3 linked regions of the Sus scrofa genome follow. The protein of the gene in region 3 purifies or fractionates together with the protein of the main gene of each other region. This does not show direct contact. Links are inferred from orthologs where the notes say so. Each region holds a gene or a part of one and is shown on either strand. Other genes may lie near its edges.

Evidence for each region.
Region 1: the proteins of CPSF2 (region 3) and CSTF2 purify together in Homo sapiens (affinity purification with western blotting; 3 studies listed by BioGRID and IntAct, with this or other methods). This does not show direct contact. The link is inferred for Sus scrofa from reciprocal best matches to the Homo sapiens genes CPSF2 and CSTF2.
Region 2: the proteins of CPSF2 (region 3) and SYMPK purify together in Homo sapiens (co-immunoprecipitation; 8 studies listed by BioGRID and IntAct, with this or other methods). This does not show direct contact. The link is inferred for Sus scrofa from reciprocal best matches to the Homo sapiens genes CPSF2 and SYMPK.

The regions. Positions count from the first base shown.
Region 1 is NC_010461.5:82,522,153-82,525,798, forward strand, and holds part of CSTF2 (cleavage stimulation factor subunit 2), read left to right. Parts: intron 1-1,085; coding exon 1,086-1,148; intron 1,149-3,546; coding exon 3,547-3,606; intron 3,607-3,646. UniProt on the Homo sapiens protein: One of the multiple factors required for polyadenylation and 3'-end cleavage of mammalian pre-mRNAs. This subunit is directly involved in the binding to pre-mRNAs.
Region 2 is NC_010448.4:52,149,280-52,152,925, forward strand, and holds part of SYMPK (symplekin), read right to left. Parts: intron 2,839-3,646; coding exon 2,757-2,838; intron 2,586-2,756; coding exon 2,472-2,585; intron 1,494-2,471; coding exon 1,346-1,493; intron 394-1,345; coding exon 233-393; intron 1-232. UniProt on the Homo sapiens protein: Scaffold protein that functions as a component of a multimolecular complex involved in histone mRNA 3'-end processing. Specific component of the tight junction (TJ) plaque, but might not be an exclusively junctional component. May have a house-keeping rule.
Region 3 is NC_010449.5:113,658,523-113,662,762, forward strand, and holds the start of CPSF2 (cleavage and polyadenylation specificity factor subunit 2), read left to right. Parts: upstream 1-1,415; 5' UTR 1,416-1,542; intron 1,543-2,864; exon of another isoform or gene 2,865-2,982; intron 2,983-4,240. Other genes in the region: NDUFB1 (NADH dehydrogenase [ubiquinone] 1 beta subcomplex subunit 1), read right to left, coding at 1,060-1,237, 1,368-1,415. UniProt on the Homo sapiens protein: Component of the cleavage and polyadenylation specificity factor (CPSF) complex that play a key role in pre-mRNA 3'-end formation, recognizing the AAUAAA signal sequence and interacting with poly(A) polymerase and other factors to bring about cleavage and poly(A) addition.

The sequences.
Region 1 (3,646 bases), on a different chromosome or scaffold from region 3:
ATATGGTAAGGACTTGTGGTTTAGTCTTTGTAAAAAGATTTTCAACCCTATTAGGCCCAGTGGCCTCTTTTTTTGTAACATATTTTTGCAGTGACCCTTTGCTATCCTAAAATGAATTGCACAGATGATACAACACACTTAACGTAGTTTCAAAAAACACCAGTTTCTCAAAAAAAAAAAAACCCTAACTATAATATAAAGGAGAAGGAAAGGGAAAAAGAACGTTTTTAATACGCAAATTTCAAGCACAACTACACTAGAAAACAAAAAATAGCAGTCAGATACTTGAATTTATACTATAAAAGTAAAAGACCCACGTATGTTGTTTTGGCAACTCAGATACCTCAAGAACTATTGACACTGATGATGTGATTTTCTGAAATGGCGAAAATGAAAACTTTTGGTGAAAGTTCTTAACAAAACAAAATAAAGTACCCATAATTTACTCAATAATTTCATTTTTGGAAAATTCAGTGTGTGTGTGTATTCATATATATTTATACACACATATATATATACAGGACAAAGAACCTTCTTGTTTACAAGTAAAACAGACAGGTTCTAAGTTCAGATGACTATAAAAATTTTCATTTGTGTGAATGTTTAGCAAGATAATTGAACGTTTTGCAAGGCAGGCAAATTCTTGATTTTGTGGGACTGTCTCATACACTGAAGGACACCTGATATCCTTATTGGCTTCTTGTAAGATGCCAGCCTTCCCTCCCTCAAATCTGTCACAACCGAAACAGCGTACCCACACATTTACAAAGTACTCTGGGAACAGAACTGCTTCCTGTGGGAGGAGTTATTTGGGTAAGTGCCCTTGTTCTGTGTTACAGAACTCCCTGCCAAGGTTTTGGTAACCAGTGAGCTTAAAAATTCGTATTTAACTCACTTTTCTGTCACTGAAGCCTAAAGTGCACTAACAAACTGCATTTTCTGTGTAACTACGTTGTTTAGTGGTTGTTATGACCTTCTTTTGTAGATTTCTGCTTGTGGGGCAGGAAGAGGAAAATTATTAACTCAGGCATGGTCCACGTTTTTTCTCCATTGTCCTAATTCTTTTCCTACCCTTTATCTTCTAGGAGGAATGCAGGCCCAGGTTGGAATGCCAGGAAGTGGACCAGTATCCATGGAGCGGGGACAAGGTAAATAAATATTAATGTCTGATTAATGTGATCTAGATTTGGAAGTGTTCTGATCTACACTGTCTGATATGGCAGCCACTAACTACGTGTGGCTATTTGAATGTTTAATTAAATTGAATCAAATTGAAATTAGGTAAAAATCTAAAACTTAGTTCCTCATTCACACTAGCCACATTCTAAGGGCTCAATGGCCACTTGTGGCTGGTGAATGCCATAGTAGATATTGCAGGTACAGAACATTCCATCATTGCAGAAGATTCTTTTGGACACAGCTGTCTAGATTTCTATCTAGTGATTCAGAGCCCGGCTGTACAAGAATTGATGACAGAGCAGATGATTCCTTTGTTTCTATTTCACTTATATCACCTTTTCTTAGTAATTTAATGCTTCTCCTGACACGTTCTCTCTCCCTCTATGGAGATCTGATTAAGATGTTTTAATACTGAACATATAATATGTGTCTGTGTATGTAGAAGATAAATTTCAACCCCAAGGATCAAAAGTCTGTGAAGCCTGTCTGGTAAGTGTATGTTGAGCTGTGGCAGTAACACTGCATACCACAGTGGCGTTCACTCCAGAATCTCCATGTGTTTCTCTGTGATACTGGAGTTTGAAGAAACAGAAACTGCAGTGATTTGCTTAAAAACAACATCAGGAAGAAAGAGGGAAAAGAGAAGGAACTAAGAGTAAAAATGAGTGCATCCAATAGGCCACACTCTCTAATTTTCACAAACCATCATGTGAGTTAGCTGGCAGCACCTCAGTTTTCAGGTGAAGGGCTGGAAGCTCAGAGTTTTGAGTTACTCCTCAAGGGGACACGGTAAGTAAATACTGGTATCCAAGTAACATGGATTGGGCTTGGTGCACTCATCTTCCGGCTAATAAGCTGCAGAGCTAAGATTCCAAAGTTTCTAGCTCCAAAATCTATTCTCTTTCTGCTAAACCACGCTGCTTCTATTAACTTCTAAAGATGCTCTCTAATGTCTTCTATTTTTATTCATTGTGCCCTTGTGATGAGAAAGAACTGCATTAGACAAGCCTGGGGAAGCTTAAGTTACTTCTTATTAGCATATGGTCTATAAGGAAAACCCATTTTTTTAAAAAGCAAAATGCTAAGATACAGACCTATGCACTCTACTCCTTGTCTATGGTTTGTACACTGGGGTTGGTTGCCGAAGTGACACAACTAACAATCTTGTCAAACATTTGACAGTGGAACAAGCTCTTGTCCAAACACTTCATCTGAGCAGCCCGTGCTTTTGTGCTGTTGTGCCCCACTGCCCTCAGCCACTATCAGTAGATCATGTATGTTCCCCAAAGTATTTTTGCAGTAGTGAGAAGGAATTAGGGTTTCAGTCATACTTTTACCTCTTCCCCAGCCATCAATCAAACTTTAGCTGTTTAATACACACTTCTGTAAGACATCTTCCTTCTTGATGTAGTTATCTTCACCTTTCTGGTCAAAAGTTAACAAAGGGAAGTGACTTGAGTTTTGAAGGTATGTCAAAAACGTCTTCATGAAGAGACAAAATGAGGTGAGTTTTATAGTTTTCCTTTAGCGCACAGCAGAGGAAGCAAGAATCTTTCTACTTGTACCCAGTTGGTCTTTCTTTTCCTGCCATCCATTCTTCTTTTGCACATTTGTAATGGTGAAAAGAAACAATGAGATGTTTAAGAACATACTTCTTGCCCTCTGCCACCTTTGTTTAGTCTTGGTGCCCTTGTCATCATATGTCTTTGCAGTTGTCATATGTTTGTTTATCACAGACTTACAGTGGCAGAGTATTTCTTGAGGAGTGATATTCTCTTTCCTTGTCTAAAGTTCATTCACTGCATTTCCCCATTTGATACTTTTTTGATAGAAATTTTTGTACTTTAAAATATGGCCAAAAAAATAGTACTATGAACTTCTTTTGTGGACCTTTCCAGAATTAATCTTGCCTTCCAGATTCAGTACAATTTCTTTCTTTTTTTTTTGTTTATGAAAAATATATTTATGTTCTTTGCCTAACCAGAGATTCAGAACCATCCTTTTTATATTTAATTTCTTTTTTTGAATGGTATCATAAGGAGATTTAAGGGGAATCATAAACAGAGGTGAACATTGAAAGTGGCTGCTTATTCCTGCTCAGATAAAATCAGTGGCCCACAGGTTTTATCTTAGGAAGCAATCTCATCAAAGCAGAACAGCTTCAGATCCAAAGAAGCTAATTTAGTTTAGGAAGATTTTGTAGTCCGGGGCAAGTTAATGAACTCTTGGCTTTTTAACTTATATGTCTAAATCTCCAGTGTCTGTATGTGTATGCTTCTGCGTGTGTGTGTGTGTGTGTGTGTGTGTGAGTGTGCAAGCTATTTTAAGTGTCTGCTCTTTCTCCTTTTGAACTTACTGCTCACCTAGGAACCCTACAGCACTCGCCCGTGGGACCCGCCGGGCCTGCATCAATTGAGCGAGTTCAAGGTACCCATTGTATCTGCGGGTTTCCTTTTGCTTGTGGTGT
Region 2 (3,646 bases), on a different chromosome or scaffold from region 3:
GAAGGAGAGCCCAGGTCTGTCGGATCCTAGGCTTTTCACTCAGGGCAACCCTGCTGTCTTCTCCTGAGCAGACGGATGTGTGGGCCACCCGCAAGCCACAGAGCTGCTGGGCCTGGGGTGACAACCCTTAGAGCTTAGCAGACACCGAGGAGGAGCTATCGGGGGAAGGGCTGATTTGGGGGTTTAGCCCTGCCCATGCGTGGGCAGAGCCTGGTGGGCTCAGGGGCCTCACCGGCTGTTCGATGACCCTTAGCACAGTCCTCTTGATGTCGGCGATGGCCTCCGTGTATACGGCTGCCAGCTCGTGGATGAGCTTGTGGTTCTGAGGCAGGAGAGCCAGGTAGAGGTACAAACACTGCTTTACTGTCTCCTCGGTCCAGGGCGCTGCCACCTCTGGTAAGGCAGGAGGTGAAGATCAGGTGAGGCCTGCTCCCCTCCCACCCTCAGGGTCTGGTCCTTCTTGGGAGGCAGGCACAGGAGGGAGCTGAGCTGGGAAGCAAAAGTCCCCAGGGCAGGAAGCCTGTCCTCTAGGAGGTGGGGGTGGAAGCGGGACGGCTCCCCTTCCGCAAGTCTCGGCACTCAGTGCCCACCTTGTCTCCTCTGACCACCAGTCCACGAGGCAGCCAGAGAGATCTTCCTAAGTGCAGTTCTGACCCTGTCCCTCTCCTGTTCAGTGCTCCCACAACTGTCCTGTGCTCTCAGGACAAGCCCCCAGATCCTCGCCCTGCTCTACCTGACAGGTCCTGGTCAGGGCAGCCCTGCCTCTGGGGCCCTGCACTCTGGTCACACCCCACTTCAGACAGACCCCAAGGCCTCCACTTTGGAGCCTCTACACGTGCTGCTGTCACCAAGAACACTGCCGCCCAACTCCTCTTGTGGTGCCTCCTCATCCTCTGGGTCTCACACCCTCTGGGTTCCCAACACTCAGGCTGCTCCAGGGCTCCTGTGCTCCTAGAAGGCCCCGTGCTTCCTGCCACAGCCTCCAATTTATGGTCCATCCTCTTGGGGCCAGAGTCTCCCCATCTGGCACACGGAGGACCCAGAGCTCTGCTGAGTGAGTGGGCCTGATATGATCCTGCCTGGAGCTGCATCACTGGCAAGCTGTCCTTGTCCTCGGCTTTCACCCAGCTGTCCCCACACCTCCAGGACCCTCTCCCTGACCCATCAGGCTGGGCCAGGCACCCCCTCTGGGCTCCCACAGACCCCTGATTTTGCCACCCAAAGCCTGCTTGTTTCGGTTACTGCTGTCTAGCTGTCTTCTCTAGCAGGCTCTGACCCCAGGGCCCAGTCCAGAGCCTGGGACGCAGCAGGTGCTCAACACACCCCTGAAGAACCTGTACCAAACCTGTGTCTTTGTCGGCTCCAAACAGCACAGATGGTGGGTTGGGGTGGACCAAGAGCTGCAGGTAGTTGAGGGCAAACTTCTCCACATACTCTCGCAGCTGCTCCTTCTCGTACATGCGCTTGATGAACAGCAAGGCTTGGGAACGTACCTGAGGAGAGAGGAGGGCAAGGTGGTGGAGGGGGCAACAGCTGTCCTGAGCTTGGCAGCCAGTGTGAAAACAAGCCCAAGTCTGAGGAAGGCCTGGCCTAGCTGAGTTACCTGTGCCCAAGACTGGCTTGGGAGGGAGGTTTCCTGGCCCAGCTGAGGGCCCTGCATCACCTCGCCATCTACTTGCCTGGCTCCATTCTTATCACGTCTGGCCCTGCTTGCCCTGCTCCAACCAGGAGCTTTCCTCAGTTCCTCACAAGTGGCGGCCTTCTCCCTGGCACTGAGACTTGGCACACAAAGTTCCCACTGCCTGGACTGCCTGTCGCTGGCTATATCCTGCTGGGAGCCAAGAGGACAGAGCCTGGTCTGGGGCATTGCTTTGTTCCCAGCAGCACCCCAGGGCCGAGCCAGAGTGTGCAGTCAGGGTCTGCTGAATGAACGGACACAAGACACCAGAAAGGAGCGGGTTGAAGGCAGGAGCAGGGATGGTCGCGGGCCCTCTCCATCACACCGAGGCACATCTGACCAGGGCGCAGCCATCTACTCCTACTGCAGGTCTTGGCTCACACGTCCCGACTCCGGGAGGCTTCCTTAAACCACCCCCTCCCCAACCCCCTCGCCAGGGCTTTGCAGTCACACACTACTCCACTCCTGGCACTGAACACATGGTGTCTGCTGGTAGGTCACACTGGCTCCTCCCAGGTCCCAGCACAGTGGGGCCTTAAGAGGGGCGTACAACACAGGCAGAATAAGAGCGAGAACGGGCCTGCCCTGCTTGGGGTGTGAGTATATATATGTGTGTACCTTCTAAGCAGCTTCACGCCATCATAAATGGAAAAACCACCACCACCACCAAAAGACTGTTGTAAGATGCACATTAAGCCCAGAAAGTTTCAGGGGAGTGTGGAAAAGGCTGGGCTGGTTACTCGGGACAGAGGAAGGACTGAGTGGAGCACAGCACAGGGCGGTGGGGGATCACCTTGTCCTTCTCATGCGAGCTGAGGTCTAGCAGGACGTGCAGGTACTGGAACTGACGGGATGGGCGCTTGAAGATCAGGTCTCGAAGAGTGGACATGCCCAGGTAGGTGCGGCTCTGCGGCAGGAAGGAGGGGAACCAGAGCTCAAGGCCCCTGCAGGGCACCACTGGGAGGTCTCCCCTGCCTCAGCCAGACCTGGGACTGGACCAGAGCATCCGGTCCCTCCCAGAACCCCCTGCCTGTACCATGATGCTCGGAGTGGCGGGAGATCTGCCGCCTGTCCTCACCTCATCCTCACAGTACTTGCGAATCACCTCCAGGGCACTCTCCGTGATGAGTGGCGCCTCCAGCACGACCTTGGTGAAGATCCTGCCAGAGAGGGGGGGTAGGGAACGGCTGGCTTCCCTATCCTGCTGATCATAGCTCAGAACTGAAAGTGCCCCCCTCCAACAGCTTGCTCAACCCCCTGGATACAGAGCTCTGGAAGCAACAGAGCAGGGTTCAGACACTGCCAGGTGGGTGTCCTGGGCAGAGACGACCTCTTGGAAACTCAGTTGCTCCCATTTTTCAAATGGAGATTCCTAGCTTGTTTAATATAGCAATGGGAGGGGATGACGGGAGGCTGTTCTTTGAGATGTGGTGACCAGAAAAGGCTGCTTGGAGATAACAGTTGTCAATGCTGGCAAAGGAGAAAGAGCCAGCCACGGAAGAAGTAGGGGGAGAGCATTCCAGGTAGAGCAGAGTGAGTCTATCAGAGGAACAGGAGACTGAAGGCCAGCGAGCTAAAGTTCGGGGGCAGTGAAATGCAGGGAGGCAAAAAAGAGGCTGAAGAGGTTGGCGTGGACTGGATTATACACGGTCTCATAGGACACAGTAAGGAGGTGCATTTTAGCTGAGGACAATGGAAGGTTTTTAGTGGGGAAATAACAAGACACGGTTTACATTTATAAAGTGTCACCTGAGCTGCTATGTGGAGAATGAATAAGCTGGAAATCCAGGACACGGAGGAAGCTACAGAACCGATGTGGGCAAGAGGTGGGGATGGTGAGAAGTCAACCTCGGGAACCAGCCTCCAAAGCAGACGCTGTTACTCGTCATGTATTATATGAGAAAATGGAGGCTCAGAGGGTAAGTGACACAGGTCAGAGAGCAAGCAGCAGAGCCAGAGAACAAGCCC
Region 3 (4,240 bases):
GATCACTGCAATAAAGCAAATACCGAGATAAGTGAGTCAAAAGAATTTTTTGATTCCCCAGTGCCTATAAAACTTGTTTACACTATACTACAGTTTATTTAAAATATGCAATAGCATTATGTCTAAAAACACACTGTACATACTTTAATTAAAAATATAATTTATTGTTAAAAAATGCTAACCATCATCTGACAAGGGTTGCCACAACTTCAATTTGTTAAAAAATATCAGTGAAGCATAATAAAATGAGGTATGCTTGTATTATTTACATTTTCTTCAATCCATTTCTCTCTCTTAACTTCTCAAAAGAAGACTGTATATGGTGTGTATTTTTCTAAGTCCTTCCAAACTCACGTTGTAATAATAGTTGATTAGACATTAAAAAAATAAATTCTATTCTCTAATTAGTCTCTATTGCACTTATATGTATTGATCAAAATGTGTCGACTTAACGTAAAAAAAAGTCGGGAGCCAGAAAACTCCTTGAGGTCTGGAACCCTGTCTTAACAACATACACACGCTAGAAATAAAGCACAAATAAATCCTTTTTTTAAAAATTAAGTTTTTACAAAGTGCATATTTTGTGGAATGGTGGGCTCAAGAGGATTTGAGATGTAGAACAGAGCAAGGTTGCGATGCTGAGTAACAAGCAAGACAGAACTCTGAAACTTGGACGAATCGGAGATCTTTCTGGAGAAGCAGCCCCTTCTCTCCTGCAGCCTAGGAGCTGTGATCCCAGATAGTGTCTCCTCCGCTCGGGCAACATCAAAAGACATTTTCCAGTTATGCTAGCCTCAGAGTACCCTTTTCAAAAGGCATCAGACGGGAAAGCTGAGCGCAGCGGTCCTCCAGAAAGCAACGCCCTCTCCGCCCCCCCTCCCCTGTCCCCCTCTCCTTCGTTGGGAAGCCTGGGAAGCCGCGCCGCTCCAGTCCTGCAAAGTCCCAGATCCCCCGCACCTCCCCGTACACAGGCTGCAGAAGGCTTTCCTAGAACTTCACCCCACTCCGCCTGCACAAAAGCAACTCTAGCCGCCTCCAACGCCTCGACCCCAGACCCACCTGCGGCCTCAGAGCCAACAACGACCCCCACGACCAAGGGCAGCGGTGAACCCAGCCACCAGCGCCGGCGGAAGCTGTGGCCTCGGGATCTACCATTCGCCGGGCCCGCTCGAAGAGAGGGGTGGCTCCGGGAAATCATAAATCTTCTTCCTTTCACTCCTTGATTCTTATCACATTTCTTTAAGATTTAACACATTATACAGCCTTTAAAAATAAAATTTTGTTCCCAGGTGAAGAGTTGGTGTTAGCACCACCTCCTTCCTCCAGCTTTGTCACCCCTCGCCCCCGAAGATGGTATCACCCCTCGCCTCCCCGCCTCCGCGGGTCTCCTCCAGTTTCAAAATGGCGGCCGCCATTGAGGGTTTTCTGCTGGCAGATCGTCACGGGTGCTGCTGAGCCAACATCAGCTTTTCTCGTTCTTGAACCTGGATTCTACTAGGGGTTGGGAAGGGCAGTGGACGGCGTTGGGGGAGGACTGACGAGGCAAGTGGGGGCGGAAGAAATCAGTGCGCCTTTGGATGGGGGAGGGGGCGTCCTCGGCCCTCGGGGAGAGCCTGGCTCCGACTCTGACTCGGTCTCCACCAGGGACGCGCGCCTGGGGTTTCGGTTGTGACTCTCCTGGTCATTCCCGGCCGAAGTGCTCAGTGAGGGAAACAGTGATTTCTTCATGGGTCTGAAGCTCCCGATTCTGTTGTGGCAGTTCCTACGATTCAGTCCCATGCTCTCCTTCCCTCTTTTTTGCTGTTTCCCTCCCCTTTGAGTCTCGGCGCCGGAGGAGTTAATCCGACGTCCGCTTTGGCTCCTTAGCTTTGTGGCTGCCTTGTTCTCAGCCTCCTCGCTTGGGGTCTTCCTGTCGCCTCGGATTGAGAGACCACGAGGCTACTGGCCACAAAGCAGGCGTCCTCTTTAGTTAATCGACTCAAAGACCTTACCATGCTTTATTAAAAAAAGTTTCGGTTCCCCCCTACCCCCCATAGCCTTTGAGCACTTCCCGTATTATCATTATTTACGTACTCTTCAGTAAACAAGAGGTCAGAATAATTTTAACCCTGGCAAGTCTGGCTTCCTGTGACCAGGCGAACTTGAGTGAGCAATTGCCCATGCCCTAATAATATTTTAATGTTTTTTATGTTAGAACCCCTTTGATCCTGTTAGGAAACCAGTGCTCTCCCGGAACTGACCAGGAGGAGACTTCTTACGAGTCTTCGAGGTTAACCCAGACTCTCATTTTCCTTAGACTTTGCTGATTCCCCTTAGTTGTCATTAACATGCACCCACAATCGTTATTAAGAAAGCAAGTAACTTTGATAGATAGTTAAGATGAAATGGTGTTGGTCAAAAACCGCTGCCCAGCAGCAATTTATGATGTCGTGAGGGTTCATTCCTTTCAGTACACATGTACGTTGCTTTGAACGCTGTGCTCCGTATTGGAGATTAAAAGATTCACCTGAACGCTTCTCTCATGCCATTCAACATCCATTCACCATTATTCTTTGTGCCCACTTGTGCCAGCTAAATGTAAATACCATTGCTTGGAGACACCAGAATAGCTTTATAAAAGAGTAAATTTGAGCTGGGTCGTGAAGGGCCAAAAGGAATTTACTAAGCTCACGGGAAGGTCATTCTTGGTTGCAGTGCGGGGATGCAGAGACTGGAGAAGTTTTGGCAAGCTTGGGGAGAGCGGGAGAATGAATGTATTTGAGCATGCTGTGCAAGGGTGGTTGGTGAAGCAAGAGGAAGATTGAGGTAAACTTGTAAAGGACCTTGCTTTCCAAGGAAGGTGTGAGATTTTCTTTGGTACTTAGCCAATGACTGCCTTGCACAAGGAAGGGGGCATGAGGCTATTTTTTGTAGGATGGTCTCTCTGATAGCTGTATGGAAGATCAACTTGGAACTGAATGAGAGGAAATTGCAGTCATTCAGGTAAGGAAATGAGTGCCTTCATTGGGGAAAGATAGTAAAGGATGTTAGACATTTCTGAAATGTCAAAAAGGAATTCAACTGGTGGCAGCCAATTTGTGGTAAGAAGGTGACTTCAGAATTTTTCGTCTGGGAGACTAAGTGGTTGGTGATACCATTAAAGTCTAGTCTGAGATGTGCATAAAAATAGGACGGTGCCTCCTTGCACTTTAGGGGTGACAGAGCACAACGCTCCACAGTCCAAAGCATGTTCAGAGTTGCTATCTGTGCTATTCCAGTAGCCACCAGCCTCATGTAGCTGCTGAGCTTTTGAAATTGTGGTCAGTTCAAATTGAGTTGTGCTGTAAATATAAAATACACACTGGATTTTGAAGATTTAGGACTGAAAAAAAAAAAACCAGTTTCTTAAAAATGATTACATGTTGGAATGATAACATTTTGGATATGTTGGGTTAAATAAAATTAATTTCACCTGTAAAACTTTAATGTGGCCCAGAAAAAAAATTTTAATTACATTTGATATGCATGCTGTTTTTATTGGACAGAGCCGTACTAGTCTAGATGAATGATAGAGGAATTAGTGAGGAGTGGAATTTAGGCTGGGCCTTAAACTGGTGATGGTCAGCAGTGCTGTCAGGGCAGCTTGCTGGCACCCTCCAGGTTTGGTTGTTTCAGACTGTAGGAAGCCTTCAGAGATTTCTAAGCAAGGACTCATACATGTGGGGGTGTTTCAGAAGATTAATCTGGCAGTAGGGTTTAGGTTGAGATGAAGGGAGGAAAGGCTGGAGGCCAAGAAACAGAAACCCAAATGTAAGGCAATGAGGCCCTGTATTAAGGTACTTGCTGTCGGAATGGGGAGGGAATGGTAAATGTACAAGGAATTCTAAGGGGAGAGTAATTCCGGAGGTGGTAACAGTCTGTTCAAGAAGCAAAGGGAGGAATCAAACATGTAGAGTTTCTAGCCTTGGTTCCTTAGACAATGACTCGTGAACTCATGTCGCAGAGTTATAAGGTGCATTTGAGGCTGAAGAAGTTTAGTCTCAAAATAGCACCAGCAAAGGTGAAAGGAGGGAGGGGGCTGCTAAATCCTCTCTTTTTTTTTATCTCCCTGCTTTGACCACCGACTTTATCTAAACAATCACACATACCAGCAAATGTTTTGAATCTGCAGAACTGCCTATATCCTGTCATCTTATAATTGATCTTAAAATATCTCTTTGTTACCTGTTCTGTCCAACAGTTAGAACTAGGTCCAGAGTTT